Linked DNA regions of Nothobranchius furzeri. The protein of the gene in region 3 purifies or fractionates together with the protein of the main gene of each other region. This does not show direct contact. Links are inferred from orthologs where the notes say so. Each region holds a gene or a part of one and is shown on either strand. Other genes may lie near its edges.

The links.
Region 1: the proteins of otub1b (region 3) and foxm1 purify together in Homo sapiens (affinity purification with western blotting; 4 studies listed by BioGRID, with this or other methods). This does not show direct contact. The link is inferred for Nothobranchius furzeri from reciprocal best matches to the Homo sapiens genes OTUB1 and FOXM1.
Region 2: the proteins of otub1b (region 3) and ubiquitin-conjugating enzyme E2 E1 purify together in Homo sapiens (affinity purification with mass spectrometry; 4 studies listed by BioGRID and IntAct, with this or other methods). This does not show direct contact. The link is inferred for Nothobranchius furzeri from reciprocal best matches to the Homo sapiens genes OTUB1 and UBE2E1.

The regions. Positions count from the first base shown.
Region 1 is NC_091741.1:41,405,835-41,409,516, forward strand, and holds the start of foxm1 (forkhead box protein M1), read right to left. Parts: upstream 2,847-3,682; 5' UTR 2,732-2,846; coding exon 2,718-2,731; intron 2,637-2,717; coding exon 2,155-2,636; intron 2,078-2,154; coding exon 1,935-2,077; intron 54-1,934; coding exon 1-53. UniProt on the Homo sapiens protein: Transcription factor regulating the expression of cell cycle genes essential for DNA replication and mitosis. Plays a role in the control of cell proliferation. Also plays a role in DNA break repair, participating in the DNA damage checkpoint response.
Region 2 is NC_091745.1:63,675,641-63,679,395, reverse strand, and holds the start of ubiquitin-conjugating enzyme E2 E1, read right to left. Parts: upstream 2,530-3,755; coding exon 2,375-2,529; intron 1,841-2,374; coding exon 1,790-1,840; intron 1-1,789. UniProt on the Homo sapiens protein: Accepts ubiquitin from the E1 complex and catalyzes its covalent attachment to other proteins. Catalyzes the covalent attachment of ISG15 to other proteins. Mediates the selective degradation of short-lived and abnormal proteins.
Region 3 is NC_091743.1:88,838,176-88,841,930, forward strand, and holds the start of otub1b (ubiquitin thioesterase OTUB1b), read right to left. Parts: upstream 2,667-3,755; 5' UTR 2,438-2,666; coding exon 2,395-2,437; intron 1-2,394. UniProt on the Homo sapiens protein: Hydrolase that can specifically remove 'Lys-48'-linked conjugated ubiquitin from proteins and plays an important regulatory role at the level of protein turnover by preventing degradation.

The DNA.
Region 1 (3,682 bases), on a different chromosome or scaffold from region 3:
CTCTCTGCTTCGGTACCCTGGACAGCTTCTGCACTGGCGTATGGACCATGTGGCTGCAAATAGTCACAGAAAAAACACAAAGAGAATCATCTATATGTGCAACAATCATAGAGGATATTTTATCCAACTGAAGAAGAAGAAAGTATCATTTCTACAGCGCCTCTCAAGATAAAAATCACGAGGCGCTTCACAAAAACAAAAAATGTAAAAATAGAAAAAAGCATTTAGAAGATGTTTAAAAATATATTAAAATGAGCAAAAATAGACAATTGTGATTAAAAAAATGTTAAGAAAGAGAGAGAGTGAACAGGAAAGAGGGAAATCAGTGGATCCTGAGGAAGGTGGAATAGGTGAGGAGAGCAGAATAAAGAGAGAGAGGTGAAGAAGGTCATACAAAAGCCAGCTTGAACAGGTGAGTCTTCAGCTGCTTTTTAAAGGAGACCCCTGAGTCCACTGATCTCAGGCTCAGGGGGAGAGAGGTCCAGAGTCTGGGGGCCACAGCAGCAGATGATCTGTCACCTTTGACCTTTAGCCTGGTGCTGCACAACCAGTAGGCTTTGATCACTGGACCTCAGGGACCTGCTGGGGGTGTAGGGACTAAGAAGATCACCAATGTAAGATGGTGCTTGTCCATGTAAGGCCCTATAGACCAGAACCAGGATCTTGAAATGAACCCTGAAGTTGACTGGCAGCCAGTGAAGCTGGAGGAGAAGCGGGGTGATGTGGGTGTGTTTGGAGGACTTGGTCAGAAGCCGAGCACAGGCGTTCTGAACCACCTGTAGACGGTTCAGGGAGGTTCTGCTCAGACACGTGAAAAGAGAGTTACAGTAGTCTAAGCGTGAGGAGATGAAGGTGTGGAGCACAGTCTCAAGTTCAGAGCGGGACAGAATGGGACTCAGCTTAGCAATGTTCCTGAGATGGAAGAAGGAAGAGCGAACAAGAGAACTGACATGAGAATCCAGGGTGAGAGCTGGGTCAAAGGTCACGCCAAGATTCCTGACGGAAGGTTTGGTGTGAGAAGTAAGCTGACCAAGAGAGTCTCTGACTTTGGGAACCAGCTTGTCTGGGGCACAGATGAGGATCTCAGTCTTATCTTCATTCAGCTGTAGAAAGCTCCCAGCCATCCAGGTTTGATAGAGTCTAAGCAGGTGTGTAACAGCTGCAGCTTAGACATCTCATGGGGCTTAAAGGAGATGTACAGTTGGATGTCATCTGCATAAAGATGGTAGGAGATTCCTTTGAAGGAGCTCAGGATGTGCTGAAGAGGAAGCAGATAGAGGAGGAAGAGCAGAGGCCCCAGCACAGAACCTTGTGGGACACCATGGGTAAGGGAGGTGGTGGAGGACCTAAACTTGGAGACGACCACAGAAAAGGAGCGCTCAGAGAGATAAGAGAACCACTCCAGAGCAGTTCCTGATAGGCCTACCCAGTCTCTCAGCCTCTCCAGTAGCAGGTGATGGTCAACAGTGTCAAAGGCTGCAGTCAGGTCCAGCAGGACCAGAACAGAACAGTCCCCTGCATCGCTGTGAGTCAGAAGGTCATTAGAGACCCTAAGAAGTGCTGTTTCAGTAGAATGAGCTCTACGAAAACCTGACTGGAAGCTATCATAGATGTTATGTTCATCAAGAGCAGCTGTGAGTTGTTTAGCCACAACCTTTTCCAAGATCTTGGAGATGAACGGAAGTTTAGAGATGGGTCTGAAGCTGCTCCAACTGTAGCCCAGAGTGATGAATTTTTACTGAGAAATACTAAAATATTTAATTTCAAATCCAACTATCTAATTAAAAAAATCATATTTAACCTCCATTCTAATTGTAGCAACCAAATAAGCCTGTAAATCAGTCAGTAGTTCGTCTGTGGTTTTAGGGGACACTCGGGAGTCCTGTCAGAACTCAGTAGGCCATCTGCATCACACAAAAAGAAGCAAGACTGACCTGTAAATTCTGGGATGTTGGAATCGATTTGTCTGTCGTCTGTTCTTCAGAATCCGGCTCTAGGGCACAGGAGTCCATCTTGCCCAGCCACTGGATGTTTGTGAGGCTGTCGTCTAACGGGCTGCAACTCGCTTCTTTAATCACTGATGAAAGAGAAGAGTGCTTAAATGGACAATGATATGGGATGGTGAGATATCAGAGACAGCATAAACTGTCATACCGTATTTACAGCCAGATTGATGATCAGCTTCAGTGTTGAATGTGGCTTCCGAGCTTACAGATTGTCCAACTGGACTCCTCGTAGGAACAGATTCTTCTCTGGCAAATTCTTGACAAGAAGATCCATTGTCCCGGCTTCCACTCTCACTCAGAAGGATGAACTTGCTTGGACCCTGGTCACCACACTCTTTACTTTTTGCAGTAATGGCATCAATAACAACCTGAAGATCCACGTCTTTGGGGATGAAAACCACCTGAGTGTCAGACATGGATGAATGACCCATGATGTGGACACCATCTAGGAGGCACTGACTGGCAGCTGGTTTTGAGGATTCTTTGGAGCTTGAAGCAGCAGATGGAGAGCGTGCGTCAGCTGCTTCATTTTGCTGAAAAGGTAGTTTTCTTCTTTTCAGGATAAGGGGTCTCCTCGGACTCCTTCTCATGGTCAAATCATTGAAACGTCCATCCAAATTCACTGGTAAGCTGTGGGAAAAATAAAAAAAATATATATATATAAAAATAAAAAATAAAGAATATTTTAGGAACACATTTTTTTTTCTTTACCTTGCTTGCATCATATCAGAAAACCGTTGTAACGCAAATCACCGGTGGAAAGTTAAGTTGTTATTTTACGTGTCTACGTATCTATTAATATTAAAGCACACGATTAATTCATGTTATATTAAAACACGCTGTGGGTTACGCTATTAAGACAAAAAGTTCCGACTAACGTATCCGTGTTACGGCTCAGTGGTTATCCGAGGTTTTATTCCTTGGCAACTGGAGAATTCAGGCGTTAAATTCACACCGGAAGTATAATTTAACGTTTATTCACAATGACATGGCTAACCGTTGTATACGTTGTAAATAGTATTTCAGGTTATGACACAATGACACGTTTGAAGCTTAAATTGGGCCCTAACAACACCATGTCTCATCTAAGAAAATGGGTTTTCAGCTTAAAAGCCCGATGCTACCACTGCTGCTGGTGGTAGCTTCTGATTGCTAACAGCAAAGCTACTAAATAAAGCCAGACCTTCATATTTCTTGTTTCAGACGGCTCCGCTGGTTTGAACTCCAACGCTGATGTTGTGGAGCACTTCGCTCGTATTACATTTTTGATAAAAGATATGTGACAGCTACCAAGCCTTTATTACAGGTTGTTTACGTGTCAAGTCAGAAACCGTTTTTGAATTTTGGCGCTGTGGGTGGTGTCCCCCTTCATGTTGATCACGTGGTAAAAACGGGCCAATGGGAACAAGAAGCTCAACGGACAAGAAGTACTCTAGGGGGCGCTAAATCACCCACATGCGGCTGCGCAAGTCGGAGAAAAGACGACAAAGAAGAAACCCGGGAAGTAGAAACAAAAGATGATTTCATGAATTGACTAACTGTTGTTTGTTTTTAACTTTGTGGGACGATTTGAATATAGTGTCCAAAGAACAACAATGCAGTAAGTATTAACCCGAGATAGAGAGAAAGCATTTGGATGTATACAATTTGATGCATGTTAAGCGTAAACATCCGTA
Region 2 (3,755 bases), on a different chromosome or scaffold from region 3:
CTTAGTCAACTTAAAGTTGCGCACATTTTCCCGCTACGTTCTCTTTCATAAATCCCAAAGTTTGCATTGAAAGTTGCTTACACAGTTTTCCAACCCAGTTTTGTGCGTAAGCAAGCTTGATAAATGAGGCCCCAGGGCATTTGTGTGTGTGTTTTGGCCATTCTTAAATGCAAAAAACACAATATAAACACCATCTTGGACCGGATAACACGGAACAGTGCTACGCCCTCTATTGTCCTGGTGGGGAATTGCTTTGTAACACTCCCCAGGAGACGGAGAAGTATGGGGGCAAAACGTCTCCATTCGTGCGTCTCTCTCCCTGGTGGAGCTGACGGAGAAGTATAAATTTGGTTTCAGTACCAGGAAGGAAGCTTTTTTTTTTAAATAAGTTCAACTTTCAGTTACAGCTGTAAATACAGATCTTCAGATGAAAACGCATTTGTTTTAATATTTTAGTTCCTCTTGGAAGAACAGCTGCTTATTTAAACTGAATGTTTTGGTATTTGACATTTCCATTCAGGAAAAAGAAACTATTTGTAACTCAAACTGAGACAACACATAATTTTGTTTATTGCAACGAAGCTTCATGGTAATAGATCTGATAACAGTGGGAAGCCTGATTAGTTACCTTTACTGTAGGTGGTGCCATCTAAACCTGCTTTATTCTGCTGTTGGAATTCAGTTCTTCACTGGATTCAACTCTCCCACGGTACTCAGGAAAAAGCAACACAGAAGGCCCATTTCATTTTTTTGGAACATCTGGGTCATTTTGCTGGACCTTCGTTACGTTCACCAGGCCGACTCAATAGGGCCACTTTTGAGAGCTTTTCAGGAACCAACCTAGAACCTGAATTGGAGCAAGTACGAGGAAAAGGCCCGGTAGTGCCGCTGGACGGGACTTGTTGTTACGTTCTGCTGATTGGTTGGAGAAACAGCTGATAGGACAGAGCTATAGAATTTTCCCTCTCCCAGAAGTGTCCCTGAACTCCTGTAGTGAAAACACGGTAATACTGGCCCCTGTGAGGGACAATCAGTAGGACGTGGAATATCCCAACACAGCCTCACCAGCTTGGCCCCGCCTCCTCATTCTAGACACATGTTCTTGTGAAACCAGGAGTCAACCAGTGTTGTTGTGTTAGGCTCAATACCAATACTCACACTTCCACCCTTGTGCCCTTCAATTGCGCATTCCTGTCCAGGGGCACAAGGTGTACCAATCCTCAAGTGCGGAAATTGACCACACCCCTTTTGCACACTTGATGCGGACTTGGGCAAAGGGTATTACCCACAACCCATTGCTGTGAAGGCATTTTGAAAAGACTGAACAATGGCTCAAGTGCCTTATTTGAAAATATGTATTTTCAAACAAAAGAAGTTCATTTTAAGACGACTAATGATATTTATATGAATAAATATCATTACTGAATGTTTAAGATTAAAATTTAATGTGAACAGCAATGAATGTAAATTGTGTCAACTGTTTAAAAATTGTTAATAAAGCTTTTTTAAAAAGTAGCACAAACAGCAACCGGCATCCCTGCATGCACAGTGGTCGATGATGCAACGGCCACTGTCCCAATTCAGCACACAGAGCCTTACTGCACACTTCCTCTAAGCGCACTTCACAGAAGACACAGGGTGCAGTGTGGGTATTGGAACTGTGAACTGACCTATAATAATGATTTTACCTGTTTCAACATTTAGGAAGTTTGGATCAGCCAATATCAGGACAAAACTCTGATCTGTCGTGCTGGTGAGTACATAAAGAACCATAAAACCGTAAACTCACCTGCAGTTTGGCGGAGGGTCCAGGGTAATTTCAGCCAGCTCTTTTTGAATTCTGCAAATGTTACAAAAATCAATTACTGATGGAAGGATCAGAGGTGGAATTACTCAGAATCAAACAAAGTGATTAAAAATAAATATGATCTAGTTAACATGGCATCAGAAAACTAACTTACACACCTTAATGCTGTTTGACTGTTTTTGTAGAAAAGAATGTTGAATGAGACTGAAACTGTGAAGATTTTTTTTTTTTTTTTTTTTACTGAAGAAGAAACTGGTACTTCCTTAAAAACATGGTTTACAACACTACTCTGGCTTATAGAAGCAACCGCCTAAGCACAAATTAAACTAGTTCCTCTTTGACCATCAATGTGTTTTTTTCACTGTTAAATAAATACACAAGGGGAAGTCATGAAAACAAATTCTACTGTCGTTTACTCATGTTTCTGAGCTTATCCTGCCATCAGCAGCTACTAAAAGTTACATATTTATATGTAAACAACATTGTTGTCTTAAGGGGTTTTAAACAGACATGAATCTAATGAGCAACAATAATCTGCCCATTGCTGTATGACAGATTTCTTTTAACCTTTTGGCGCTGGTGGAAAGCAGCTTGGAGGTCTTGCTCATGCTGGTTTTGTTCTCCCGTTTCTTCTTGAAAGCTGTATCCTTGTGTCTGTTTTGGCTGGAGGAAGGTGGTGATGAGGATGAGCTGGTGCTGGCACGGGAATCCTCATCCGACATACCGGTTAGGATTGGAGAAGAGCCGCAACCTGAGGAGAAATGGGAGGAAATCTGAAAAGTGAAAGTAACCCAAAAATGTGGAGCACTTGTGAATAAAGGTAGGTAATAGTATTTTCCTTTTGGGAGGTTTATGTTTCTGAACACATTTTCAAATGTGTAGTGTTGACAAAAACAAAACATCTGGTTTTTATCAGGATTAACAAAACAAGCTGGAATAAAAATGAACAAACCAAGTGCTTAATAATGGGGAAAACAGTCTTATTTTTTAAAAGGTTTTTGTGGAAATTATTTATTTGAAAATGTTAATTTTCTAAACATTTATGCACCACCTTTCCTTGATATAGCCTAGCAGCAATATATATATATATATATATATATATATATATATATATATATATATATATATATATATATATATATATATATATATATATATATATATATAAGTCTGAATAAAATTAGAAAAAATTAAGATATTGAAAACATTTACATCCGAAAGAATAAATTAAATCCAGGATGTGATCATGTGCAAACCATGGTGCAAACACAAAACATTACACATCAGTTAGCTAGCTTGTTTGTTTTGATCTCATGTTGCAGACATGAGATAGGATTCTCGCGAGATTTCACAGCGATTCGCCTTCTGTTTTTTTTTTCGTTAGGTAACGCTTTCCGCTACGGTTAACAGTCTTTAGCCTTAGCTAGCTCGTGGTTAACATTAAATATGGTAATTTTGTATCGTAAGCTATAAATTAAAACGTGTCTGATGGTATATACACGCCATATGTTTCTTCAAATCACCTTTCTTCGTGAGCACTATCAGTAATCCAGCATTAGTCCTCCCCGCTTCATAAAAAACTTAACTGGTAACGAAGACTCGGGCCTCAAGTCTTTGTGGATAAAACAATAATAACGTGAAATTAGACGACGGCTGTGTTGTCAGCTCTCGTTGTGAACCGCTGCCTTTGGCATTAAGACACATATAAATGTAACAATTAAAGGTTTGAAGCAAGAATGAGAAAAAGAGGACCGCTCCAGCACATAGACGCAGCCCTTCCCCCCGTGCTGCTGCTGACTCGACCTCGAGCGTTTTGTTTTTCTTTTTCTCGTTTCTGTCGCCGCGCATCAACATCAGCTGGGAACGCAAACATGTTGGGAATCAGCGCAGATTTTCACAATGCCGAACTAAACGCTTGAACGGAACCATTCATCTCGCTCGTGAAACT
Region 3 (3,755 bases):
CACATATGTGTAAGGTTTTAAATAACCGCTCTGTATTGGTGAAACAAAGACATTTCTTATGGGATGTGGATGACACATTTCACCCCTGTAACATCAAAACCATGATTTATTCATTTTGTTGTTATTAAACACAAGAAGGTAACAGTTAGCCATGCTTTACTTGTTTGTTGTGGATATTTGTAGTTAAAGGGACTTTAGGGAGTTTTGAATTTTTATGCTCGTGATTGCCCCCTCTGGCCAAAAGCGTAATGGCAGCTTCAATAGTAGGCTCGTGTACGAGGTGCGCATGCTGTACGTGCACACTCCTTAACGAAAATAACAGCTGAGACGAAGCTCTGTGAAGCTGTGTGTGTGTGTGTGTGTGTGTGTGTGTCGGAGGACAGGAGAACGTGCAGCTAATTAATTAAATAATTTGGTTCTGTACTTTTCTCTTCAGCACAGCCAACAAAGGTCAGTCCTCCTGCATGCTCAGATCATTCCATTCCTTTACTTGAAAAATTGTTCCAAAATGAAAGTTGAACCCACATCTTTTTTCATCTGTGAATTCAATGCCGTTCGGCGAGTCTCAGATAAAAATTTGGGCATTTTACTGTAAAAAAATATATCATTGTAAAAACGAAATTCTGAAACAACCATGTTCACGTCGAGAATCGAACCGGGTCTTCTGCACAAAAGTCCAAAAATTTGCTAGGCGAGCTAAATCGCCAGTGGTGTCTACTGCGTCTGTAACATTTATATCCTTGATGACAGCTGAAACAACGTTCAAAGAACGGTTCGGAGGGCGATGCCTGAGCGTGAACGCGCATGAAGCAGCCTGCTCGACCCGAGCATCTCTCTTTTTCTGTGATTTTACAGAAAAACAGGCAATCACAGTAAAAATGCCAGGGCTCATTCTACAGGACCAGGGCATTGCAGGAGAATGTATGAAGAAGACATTTATTATTTCTATACATGTTTTGACTGTCACACTTCCATAATGCCCCTTTAATGTAAGTTTCTATTTAAAAAATGTTTTATAGGAACCAACTGACTGGGTTTGCACAACAGATCAAATATGTGTAATAATAAAGAGAAACAAACCCTTTCAGTGTTACTAAACTTGTTAAACTAAAAAAAATATTAAAATTTGTGTTTGATGAAAAGGTTAGACAGGTTTAAACTGGTTACAGAACCAGAAGATTTCCCCTTAACATTTGACCGTGCAACTATTTCAGGACTGGGTTCATTCTAACGTGGTCTCGCTGCCATAACAGTAACAAACTTCACAAAGGGACCAAATGTATTATAAACTACAAATGAACTAAAGCAAACTCCAATATCATACAACAGTGTGTATTTTTATATTGTAGTGTCTCTGGACAACTTGTGTGATGGTGCTTCTTGTAGTTTTATAAACTGTGTGATATATATATATATATATATATATATATATATATATATATATATAATTAATTAAATTAAATCGGCTCTACTGAAGAAATTTATCGGCCAAAGCTAATATAAAAAAATTGTAAATATTGACCCAATATATTATCCTATCACTAAGTTACTTTTATTATAAATGAATCTGAACCCGCAATGCACACAGTCTTTTTTAACTAATGCTGATTAATGATTATTCAGTTAGAGACACAAAGTTGCACCTGATTCATTAAATTGGTATAACATCCAATTTTATTGTGTTCTGTTTTATAAAGTTTTACACTCGACTACAACTCTGTCACTTTCATGAGTCCACACAGACCATGTCTCAGGTATCAGGACAATGCACGACATGTTAAATCAATTGTAATATGTGACATTGTCTCTGGTACACACGACAATGAATCTGATGTTTGAAACGACGCATAGTTTCGTCATTCTGGAACAAATTCTCTGAAAACCGATAGCTGAGTTAATGAAGCAATGAAAGGGGGAATTAAGAACTTCATTTTCTTAGATTGAGAAATTCTTCTACCCCAGTGACCATGAAAGAACATGAATACAAGTTGATCCAGTCCAGAACACCGCAGCTAATCTTGGCTAGCATCGAAAACAAAACGTATTTTGAACGCAAAAAAACGTCACTGTTCTCCAAAGATAAATTAAGCTTATATATTCTGCCTTAACACTGAGCTCATACATCTGATATTAATTTAAGTATAAAACCGCGTAACTGTCATGTTTTATTTCTCTGTTAATCACTTAACAACCGTCGTTTTTCTTTGTGTTGCAGCGGCTGCTTGCTAGCGTTAGCTAAGCAGTTCTGGCCCTTAAGGTGGAATGTCAGCCACCTTAAACTCGGAGAGGGGTGGATTAAAGCGGGCTGCGGACTAACATAAACGTGGGCTTCACCTGACAGGGAAATGACAGCGCAGGTGAGAGAATATTGGATGGTTCAAATCATTTCGTTACCTTCCACCTCTCCCTGTGATGATTCCTGCTGTTCCTCCGCCATCTTAGCTGTGCAGATCTGCTTCCTCCTCCCTCGTGACCTCAGACGTTACACACTTCCGAGCGGAAAACACAACAAATAAAATCCAATTATTCGATCAACAGTCGAGTAAAGCAACGAGGGCGTCGGTTTTCGTGAATAAAGCAGAAAGACCGTTATTGTTGTTAAAGTTGGTAAAGTGTTGCCTGAAAAATGATTGTTTGAAATATACAAAAGGGTGATTCTCTGAATTTGGTGTTCTTTGCGTCCCACAGGTTTACCACAAGGTTTTTCATATTAAATAAAGTACAAATGGAAAGGTTTATGTTTCTCTGTATTATGATGCACAAACATTGTTTAAAAATCATGTTTTAAGACTTAAGAGTAGAAGTCAGCCAAGAGCACGTCCCCTATGACCAAAGATGCTTTATCCGTTATTGTAGCCTTTCTGGTCGGGTTTTGTTTTGCCATTCTCCTTCAACCCAACAGAAAATATCTGAGAAAAATATATAAATTATCTGTGAAATTGTGCAATTGAATCAATTACCCAGTTTTTTAATTTTATTATTATTTTAAAAAAAAATTAATGTTCAAGATATTTCAATACAAGCTAAACATGGAACAAGATACAAAGTATCTATAAAATTATGGTAAAACACAAGAATAACACAGAAAGAATGACAAAAAGAATACAAAAAACCAGAGAGCATATTAATCAAATGTCATATTAAGTTTGTCCATAATGCACATAGTTTTAATAGCTTTTTTTATTTTCAAGAGTACTAATTGTAGTGATGTATGTAATTAGTTCTTTGTGAAATTTACCATTGCCTTTTATGTATGTGAAACTTCCCCAACAGGAGCAGAAGTTGTACGAGACATGAAACATCCTTATTAATGTCCTCACTCATCTACACACACAGCCATGGAAATGAGTCAGCATGCAGGGAAGAAGTGCAGCAGCTGGAGGACTGGTGTACAGCTAACAACCTGACCCTGAACACCAACATAACCAAAGAAAGCATCATTGACCCAAGACGGAAAAAAGGTGGAGCACCAGTGACTCACAATAAATGGAGAGTGTGTGAAGAGGATCTCACAGTTCATGTTCCTGGGCACAAACAAATCAGAGGACCTCACATGGACACACAACACCAACTGTCTGATAAAGAAGGCACAAAAACGGCTATACTTCCTGAGGGCCCTCAGGAAGACCAACCTGCCATAAAAAGTACTGGTGTCATTTCATCACTGCTGCTGTTAATCACTGAGTGTGCTGATTAACAGCATCCTGGTGTGGTACAGCAGCAGCTCTGCAGCTGACAGGAAGGCCCTGCAGAGA